2 linked regions of the Caenorhabditis elegans genome follow. The protein of the gene in region 1 interacts with the protein of each later gene in a pairwise test. Each region holds a gene or a part of one and is shown on either strand. Other genes may lie near its edges. The genes, in order: T28C6.3 and Y25C1A.7.

Region 1 (3,267 bases):
GACATTAATACCAGGTTCATCAGATCCGGAGCTTGACATATCTTTTTCAGCCTTCTCAACATCCATCCAGCTAACCGAGTAATGATGAGTAACACCTTCCATTGTTACTGACGTAGTTATTTTGATGTCTTTAACATTGATTTCAAATGCATTATTAGATTGTAACAATGATGGGACAAAGCCTTTTGATATCTGACGACCACGAAAGTTTTTTGACAAACTGGGGCATTTTGGAGAAGAAGTTGTGAACAAATGAGACAATTGCTTGCGAAACTTTTCCGAATCTCTGAAAATGATATGTTTGTAGCTTTTGGTACTGTGATTCTCTAGATATACTGATGTTTTAAATTAGATTTTATTAAACTAAAAAGACAACTCACACCCAAACTCACATTCCATTTGCTCCCATTTCTTTGAATCGATTCTGTTTTCTTTTAACAAATCGCTTCCGAACGACACACGAATTAGGGAAATTGAGAAATAAAATTGATTCAAATTGCCTCCCCCTCCCATTTTTTTTTGAAAAATGTGAAAACGTGGAAAAACCTTTTTTAAAACAATCACGTTACAATAAACACGTATTTTAGTGTGCTTTTGAGGTTCAAAAATTTTAAATACCATTTCCCTCCAATTGAATTTAAGCACCCAAAAATAATGTGTTACTTGGCAAGCTGTTTCAATAAAAACTTTAAAAGTGACTGGTGCAAAAAATTTTTGTAATCATTTGAAAACACAACTTCAGGTGACAAATCAACAAAAAAACAATTAAACGAAATTAGAGTTCCCGGGATTCTTGTTTTGGAAGTCCAAAAAGCAGCCACGATCCAATGTACAGTCCCAAGACCAGAATACATACCAAAACGTTAAAACTTTGACTCGTTTTGGTGACGTTTCTGGTGTGCTTTGAATTACATGAGTTGGGGCTGATTGTGAGGGCTTCTTTTTCAATTATTGATTTGCCTTCTTCATCTTCATATTCTTCCTTGTCCTCGTCATCCTCTTCATCGTCACTCTCTTTCACGTATTCGTTGACTACAGAGTCTTCTGACTCTGATTCATCCAAAGCATCGGATTCTGATTCTGACTCGCACAATACACTCTCCTCCAATTCGTCTGCAAACGAAGTAGTGGGCTCTTGGTGGAACTTTTGAGCATCATGTAAAGTCTTGACAAATAATTTCTCGTTGGTGTCCAGAAACTTCAGCTCCATGTCAAGAGCTTCTTGGAGTTGGACATCTTGCTTCTTTAAAATCTCCAATTTCTCTTGGATTCCTATTGGCATTGTAAACGTAGTGGCATCATTTTCGTTTCTCTTTGTGGCACCACTAAAATTTGTATGCAATAGTAAGGTACATTTCACGACAATTGTGTGCTTATTTTTGTGTGCTACAAGTTCTACTAAGTTTGTTTAAAGTATTCTTTATTCATAAAATTTTGGTTCTATTATTAAAAAAATCTAAATTATGGACCACCAAATAGCAAATGGACCATCGATCAGCAAAGATATAAATTTAATAGCAAAAATACTAACCCTAGTTCCTGATTATTGTTGTTTTTTATGGCAGTCTCAGAAATGTTCGACATTGTTGACTTGATTCTGTAATTTTTTAAGTTTAATTGAAAGCTATTGGAAAAGAAGTAGAAAATATTCAAAGCATACAAAATATTTGCAAAATGATTTTTTTCTAAAAAGTTATGATGAGAGTACTAATTAGAACAACAAAACCCAGAGATTCCCAAAAAATACTGAGTGACACAAAAATAGGATTGCATTGGAAATGCAAATAGAATTTTAATGAACATACATACAAGATTATGGGACAGGTGTCCTGTACGGCGTACAGACAGAACCAAAAAGACCAGATTCTGTTTAAAAAGAAAAGATGTGGCAGATGTGATTTTAAGCCTCGATCGAAAACGGTAAGATGTTTACACAAATAATTAGAGAATTTCATAAGTGGATGAAACAAAAAAAAATTACCTATACGTTCGGATTATACAGAAAGGTTTCCTTCTTGAACTTCTACATTTTAATTAAAAAAAATAAATAGTTAACACATTTATGTGAAGTTAAAAGTTTCTCTGATCAATTGCTCTGTTGAGGTTTTTTAATCTGTTATTTGGATATTTATTAGACCCAAAATAAAACAATAAACATTAGCACTTTACGACTAATACAAAATAATGCGCGAAACTGAGATGAATGAGATCGTGTATGCGAGAGTTGATGACCGCGTGATGTGCAATTATTTGCAAATCATTAAGAACAGGGCTTGGGGCAGTGAGTGCGGGTCACCTTGTTCTTCTTGGTGGGTCGATAATCAAACATCTTTGCACCAACGAGAACGTTTAGAGATATACAGAGGGAGAAAAGATGGAGAAGGTCAGCAGCCGGCAGTAGGCTCTTTTCTTCTTTAGATGGAATGGTTGATGGCAATCTGGTGAGAATAACATATTGAAAGTGTGAGAAGAAATCACAGTAATCCCGGAATATAATGCAAGAGAAAATCAGAGCATCAGATATGCTAACTTTTATGATCCAAGGAACAGCTAAAGTGCATTATAGATGCGAAAGTTTTAAAACTTTATTTTCGCGCATATCTGGAATTTTCAAAAAAAAAAAGGACAAGATTTTTCATTTCTAATTAGAACTATTTGCAAGCACAATAAAATTCAAATACCTTTTATTCTCGCAGTTTTACAAATTTACGGATTTTGAACAGTAGCAAATAGAATTGAAAAACTGCTTACTTCACAAACATTATACCGAATACTTTTACTCGTTAGCAATTTTTTCAAATGGATGTATTAATTTATTTTATTTAACGTTATATAGAAAACTGTATAATTTCAAAACAAAGACTTAATCCAATTTGTAAAAGATCCCAGTATTCCCATTCTTTTAGGCTTTCCATTTTTCTTCAGAGTTTGGCACTTTTTCACAAGTTTCTTATTTTGATCGTCCACAAACAGAATGGCACTTTGAGAAATGATTAATTCTTCTTTCAACAGAAAATTTTCAAGTCTGGAAGTTTCCCATTAAACATTGAACGCAATGTCAACTCACTTGTAGTTGTCCAATTCCCGTTTGATTTTATTTAGTTGTTCCTGTAGTTGATCTTCTCTGCTATTTCTTTGCGGCCTCATAATTTTTCTAATAGTAAGTCAAAAGAAACCGCTTTGAGTTTTAGGAAGAGGTTAAGGGAGACAATGGTGAATAGGAAATGAGTAGGAAGACAGGTAGGCAGACAGCAGGCTAGAATAACA
Region 2 (5,117 bases), on another chromosome or scaffold:
GTGCAAAAAAATCCGAATTTTCCAAATTTTGCCTCAATTTTTCCAGATTTTCGGGACAATTTCCAATTAGAAAAAAAAAATCAATAATTTCACAAAAAATTAGGAAAAATATAATTTTTGAATAAATTTGAAAAAAATCGATAATCTCTCAAAAAAACTGAAAAATCGATTTTTTCTAAAAAATTTTTTAAAAAATCGATATTTCTCAAAATTTTAAAAAATCGATAAATTCCCAAAAATAGGGAAAAAATCGATATTTTCAGAAAAAAATGTAAGCAAATTTGCTCCATTTTCAGTGGAAAATCGCAACAAAAAAAAACCACAAAACGACACATTTTTGGGGCGGAAAAATCATCGATTTTTGCAGTTTTAGTGCAAAAAAATCCAAATTTTCCAAATTTTGCCACAATTTTTCCAGTTTTTCCAGATTTTCGTCGGAAATTGTCCAATTTCCGTACCCATTCGAAAATCGGATCCATACGTCCCCTTGGCTCCGTCATTTTCGATAAATTGTGCCAAATTTCCAAAAATTCCGATAGCGAAAACAAGAGTTACAGACACCCAAAATGGTCCCCAAAGGTCGGGAATTGGTTGCAAAAAGTCTTGAATATAGTTACGATGGGTTGGAATGACACTGTTGAGCAGACGTTTGATAACCTGCAAAAAAAATCGATAAATTATCGATTTTTCAGGGGGGGGGAAATTGATGAAAATTTTATTTTATTTTTATTTTAATAATTTATTTTAATAATTTAATAAAAATTTTATTTTATTTTAATTTCGAATTTTTAGCGAATTTTCGGCCATTTTCCAGGGAATTTTCAGCGGATTTTAGTGAATTTTTGGCGAATTTCATCCATTTTTTAGAGAATTTTCAGCGATTTTTAGGCACAATTTCGACGAATTTCAGCGAATTTTAAACGAAAATTTTAAATGAGCAGACGTTTGATAACCTGCAAAAAAAATCGATAAATTATCGATTTTTCAGGGGGAAAATTGATTTGAAAAATCAATCAAATTGAGCAATTTTTTCGGGGGATTTTCGCGAAATTTTAGCAGTTTTCAGTGAAAAAACGAGCATTTTTCATAAATTTTCCATGATTTTTTTGGTGGTTTTTGGACAATTTTGAGAGATTTTTCCGGGAAAAAATGAATTTTTTTCCGAATTTCAGAGATTTTTACCCACATTTTCAATGAAAAATCCCGTTTTTTTTAAATGGAAATTCGCTGGAAAATGGTGAAATTCGACGAATTTTTGGCAGTTTTTCAGAGCAAAAAAAGGAATTTTTATACACAAGTTTCAGTGGTTTGTAACTGAAAAAAATTCAAATCTTCCGGAATTTTAGGCGCGTTTTTTCCATGAAAAATCCCCTGCTTTTTTGGCAAAAATTAGGGCTTTTCGGCCCGAAAAATCGATGAAAATTGGTGAAAATTCGAGAATTTTGAGGTTTTTTCCCAGTTTTTTTGGTTGAAAATTGCAAAATATCAGTGATTTTTCGAGATATTTTTTAATTTTCAGCGTTTTTCGGTAAAAATTCAAATTTTTTGTCAATTTTTCTGAAAAAAATCGATTAATTATCGATTTTTCAAGGGGGGAAAAATTTCAAAAAATCGATGAAAATTGGTGAAAATTCGGCAATTTTGACGGTTTTTCCGGGTAAAAATGAGTTTTTTCCGAAAAAATTCAAATTTTCCGGAATTTTAGGCGTTTTTTTTTCCATGATGAAGCCTGTTTATTGGGCAAAATTAGGCTTTTTCGGCTGAAAAATAGATGAAAATAGGTGAAAATTCGGCAATTTTGACGGTTTTTCCGGGTAAAAAACGAGTGTTTATCCGAATTCCACAGGCTTTTAATGAAAAATCCCGTTTTTTGGTCAATTTTTAGCAAAAAATCGGCTTTTTGGTTTTAAATTCACTGGAAAATAGGTCAAAACTCTTTGTTGAAAATTCCAAAATTTCAGAGATTTTTCATCGAAAAAAAGCTACAATTTTTCGAGATTTTCAGCGCTTTTCGTGAAAAATCGATAATTTATTGACAAATCCAAATTTTCAAAAAATCTTCACCGATTTTCCATCAAAATTTCGCGAATTTTCTGGAATTTTCGGGTGAAAAATGCAATTTTTCTCAATTTTTCCAGTTTTTTGTTGCTTTTCCTCTACCTGATCAGTTTCGACATCGAAAAACTGTTGATAATATTCAAAAGAGAAGAAATTTCCCTTTCTGGTGGAAGTAGTCGATTGGGAATCATCGAAAACTCCGCCAGATGGAGCTGCTGACGATGTTGCTCCAACACTTCCGCCGACGAGCTGAAAATTACGAAAAATTGACAAAAAATCAATAAATTATCGACTTTTTGGACATTTTCACAGAAAAATCAACTAAATATTGATTTTTTGAATTTTTTCACGTAAATATGGGTTATTTATTGATTTTTTGAGCATTTCCAGTGAAAAATCAATAAAATATCGATTTTTTCGGTAAAAAATCAATAAAATATCGATTTTTTAGTGAAATTTAACAAAAAAAAATTCAAATTATCGATTTTTTGGTTAAAAAATCAATAAAATATCGATTTTTTCAGTGAAAATAGTCCAAAAAATCGATTTTTCAGCTTTTCCAGATGCTCACAATATTGCGATCGCCAATATTTCCACCAAATGCTCCAGATTGCTCGTTCGTCGAGTTCACATTATCGAAATCTGCAATTTTTGGGTTTTTTTAGGATTTTTGGAGGGTTTTATGGCCAAAAAACCCGTTTATTTTGTGAATTTAGAGTGAAAAAACCGGAATTTTCTGGATTTTCAGGACAAAAAGCTTTGTTCAAGCCTAGATTTTACACCAAAAAAAGCAAAAATCTAATTTTTTCGCGAAAAAAAATGCGATTTCCGCCAAATTTTCAGGCTTCAGGACCGGAAAAGCCCGAAAAATCCAAATTTCCGGCTTAAAATCGCCAATTTTCGAGCTAAAAATCCTAGTTACCAAGATTAACATCCTCCCATTTTTGCGAAGGCGGCGCTGGTTGAGCCATTGTTAAAATCGAAAAATAAATTTTTTTTCGCAATTTTCTACTGTATTTTTTTGTTTAAAAAATTTTGCCAACTCACTTTGAAAGTTTAAATCCATTTCGGGCTGTCACGTTGTTGGGTTTCTAGAAATTATATTAAAAATTGTAAAATTTCGAGAAAAAATAGGTAAAAATAGATAAAAATCGGCTAGAAACCGTGTGGAAAAAGTCAGAAAAATGCGAAAAATCAATAAAATTACAGAGAAAATTCAAAAATTTTTCACAAAAATATGATAAAAACCGTGAGAAATTCGATATTTTGAGATGATTTTTCAAGAGAAAACGGAGAAAAAATCGGGATTTTGAGCAACAAAAATTAATAAAATAGTGGAAAAAAAACGGTTAAAAACGGAGAATTTTCAAGCAAAAAATCAATAAAATAATGGAAAAATTGGGTAAAAACTAGCAATTTTTAACGGAAAAACTGGTGGTTTTAGAGCGAAAAAATCAATAAAATTGTGAAAAAATGGCGAAAAAACGGCGAAATTTAGCGTTTTTATCGTCGAAATCTGTCTCTCGATCGGCTTCTTCGTCGCTCTTTTTCTCTGCGTCTCTCGTCGTCTCGGCGTCTATCACTGGTGGTGCCACGTGGCGGGGAACGGCGGCGTTCGCGAGAACGAGATCTGCAAAAAAAATGGGGAATTTTGGCTGGAAACGGGGAAAAGTGCGGAAAAAATCGATTTTTAAGCTTAAAAATCCCATTTTAAAGCAATTTTGAGCAAAAATTTGGCAAATTTATCGATTTTCCGGCAGTTTTTTGTATTTTTTCGTCGATTTTTTAGGAAATTTGCACGATTTTCGACGGTTTTTTCCGAGAAAATTTGGAAAAATTCAAGAAAAATCGCATTTTGACCTCGAAATTCCAATTTTAGAGCAATTTTCAGCGAAAATTTGGCAAATTTATCGATTTTCCGGCAGTTTTTTTGTATTTTTTCGTCGATTTTTTAGGAAATTTGCACGATTTTCGAGGGTTTCGCTTCAAAAAATTTTAAAAAACTCTCAGAAAATTCACATTTTGAGCTGAAAATTTAAAATTCCGGCAGTTATTTTGTACTTTTTTCGTTGATTTCTAGCAAATTTACACAATTTTCGAAGGTTTCTTACAGGAAAAATGGCAAAAAATTCATGAAAATTCGCATTTTTGAGCTCGAAAAATCTGATTTTACAGCAAAAAACTGGCAAATTTTTTTTTAATTTTCTGGCGATTTTCAGCCAATTTTCGGCCAATATTCAGCAAATTTCTTCCATTTTTAGGCACAATTTCGACGAATTTTCAGGGAATTTTCTGCTAAATTTAGCGAATTTTCAACGAATTTTTGGCGTATTTAAATGATTTTTCAACGAATTTTCATCGAATTTTCGGCAATTTTCTGCCATTTTTTGGCGAATTTTCAGCGTATTTTAGCGAATTTTTAGGGAATTTTCAAAGAATTTTCAGGAAATTTTCAGGGAATTTTCGGCGAATTTTTGGCGTATTTTAGCGAATTTTTAGGGAATTTTCAAAGGATTCTCAGGAAATTTTCAGGGAATTTTCATCCATTTTTCAGCGAATTTTAGGCAATTTTCGGTGAATTTTCAGCGAATTTTCGGGGAATTTTCGACGAATTTTCGAGGAATTTTCGGCGAATTTTCGGGGAATTTTCGGCGAATTTTTGGCGAATTTTCAGCCATTTTTCAGGGAGTTCTTATTTCATTCAATTTCGACGAATTTTCAGCGAAATTCGGCCATTTTTAAGTAATTTTTTGGCGAATTTTCAGCGATTTTCCAGCCAATTTAGGCCATTTTTTAGAGAATTTTCATCCATTTTTCAGCGAATTTTAGGCAATTTTCGGTGAATTTTCGGGTAATTTTCGACGAATTTCCAGCGATTTTTCAGCCAATTTTCAGCAAATTTCCGCACCTCTTGCGATCTCTCCGATCATCCCGATAACTTCTTTCTCGGCTTCTACTCCGACTTCTTTTTCCTCTCTTTCTATCACGATCTCTCGGTGAGTTGCTCCGTTTCCGATGGCTTTCACGATCCCTTTCTCGTGATGTTTTGTGCATTTTTC

Evidence for each region.
Region 2: the proteins of T28C6.3 (region 1) and Y25C1A.7 interact in a two-hybrid assay, tested with the Caenorhabditis elegans proteins (one large-scale study listed by BioGRID).

Annotation. Positions count from the first base shown.
Region 1 is NC_003282.8:8,818,673-8,821,939, reverse strand, and holds T28C6.3 (uncharacterized protein), read right to left. Parts: upstream 1,600-3,267; 5' UTR 1,585-1,599; coding exon 1,532-1,584; intron 1,326-1,531; coding exon 776-1,325; 3' UTR 675-775; downstream 1-674. Other genes in the region: T28C6.5 (RING-type domain-containing protein), read right to left, coding at 1-286, 393-409; T28C6.10 (Transposase), read right to left, coding at 2,851-3,025, 3,068-3,147.
Region 2 is NC_003280.10:3,067,914-3,073,030, forward strand, and holds the start of Y25C1A.7 (Yip1 domain-containing protein), read right to left. Parts: upstream 3,150-5,117; 5' UTR 3,125-3,149; coding exon 3,106-3,124; intron 3,037-3,105; exon of another isoform or gene 3,030-3,036; coding exon of another isoform or gene 2,981-3,029; intron 2,701-2,980; coding exon 2,630-2,700; intron 2,308-2,629; coding exon 2,161-2,307; intron 658-2,160; coding exon 459-657; intron 1-458. Other genes in the region: Y25C1A.8 (Zinc finger Ran-binding domain-containing protein 2), read right to left, coding at 3,562-3,688, 4,967-5,117.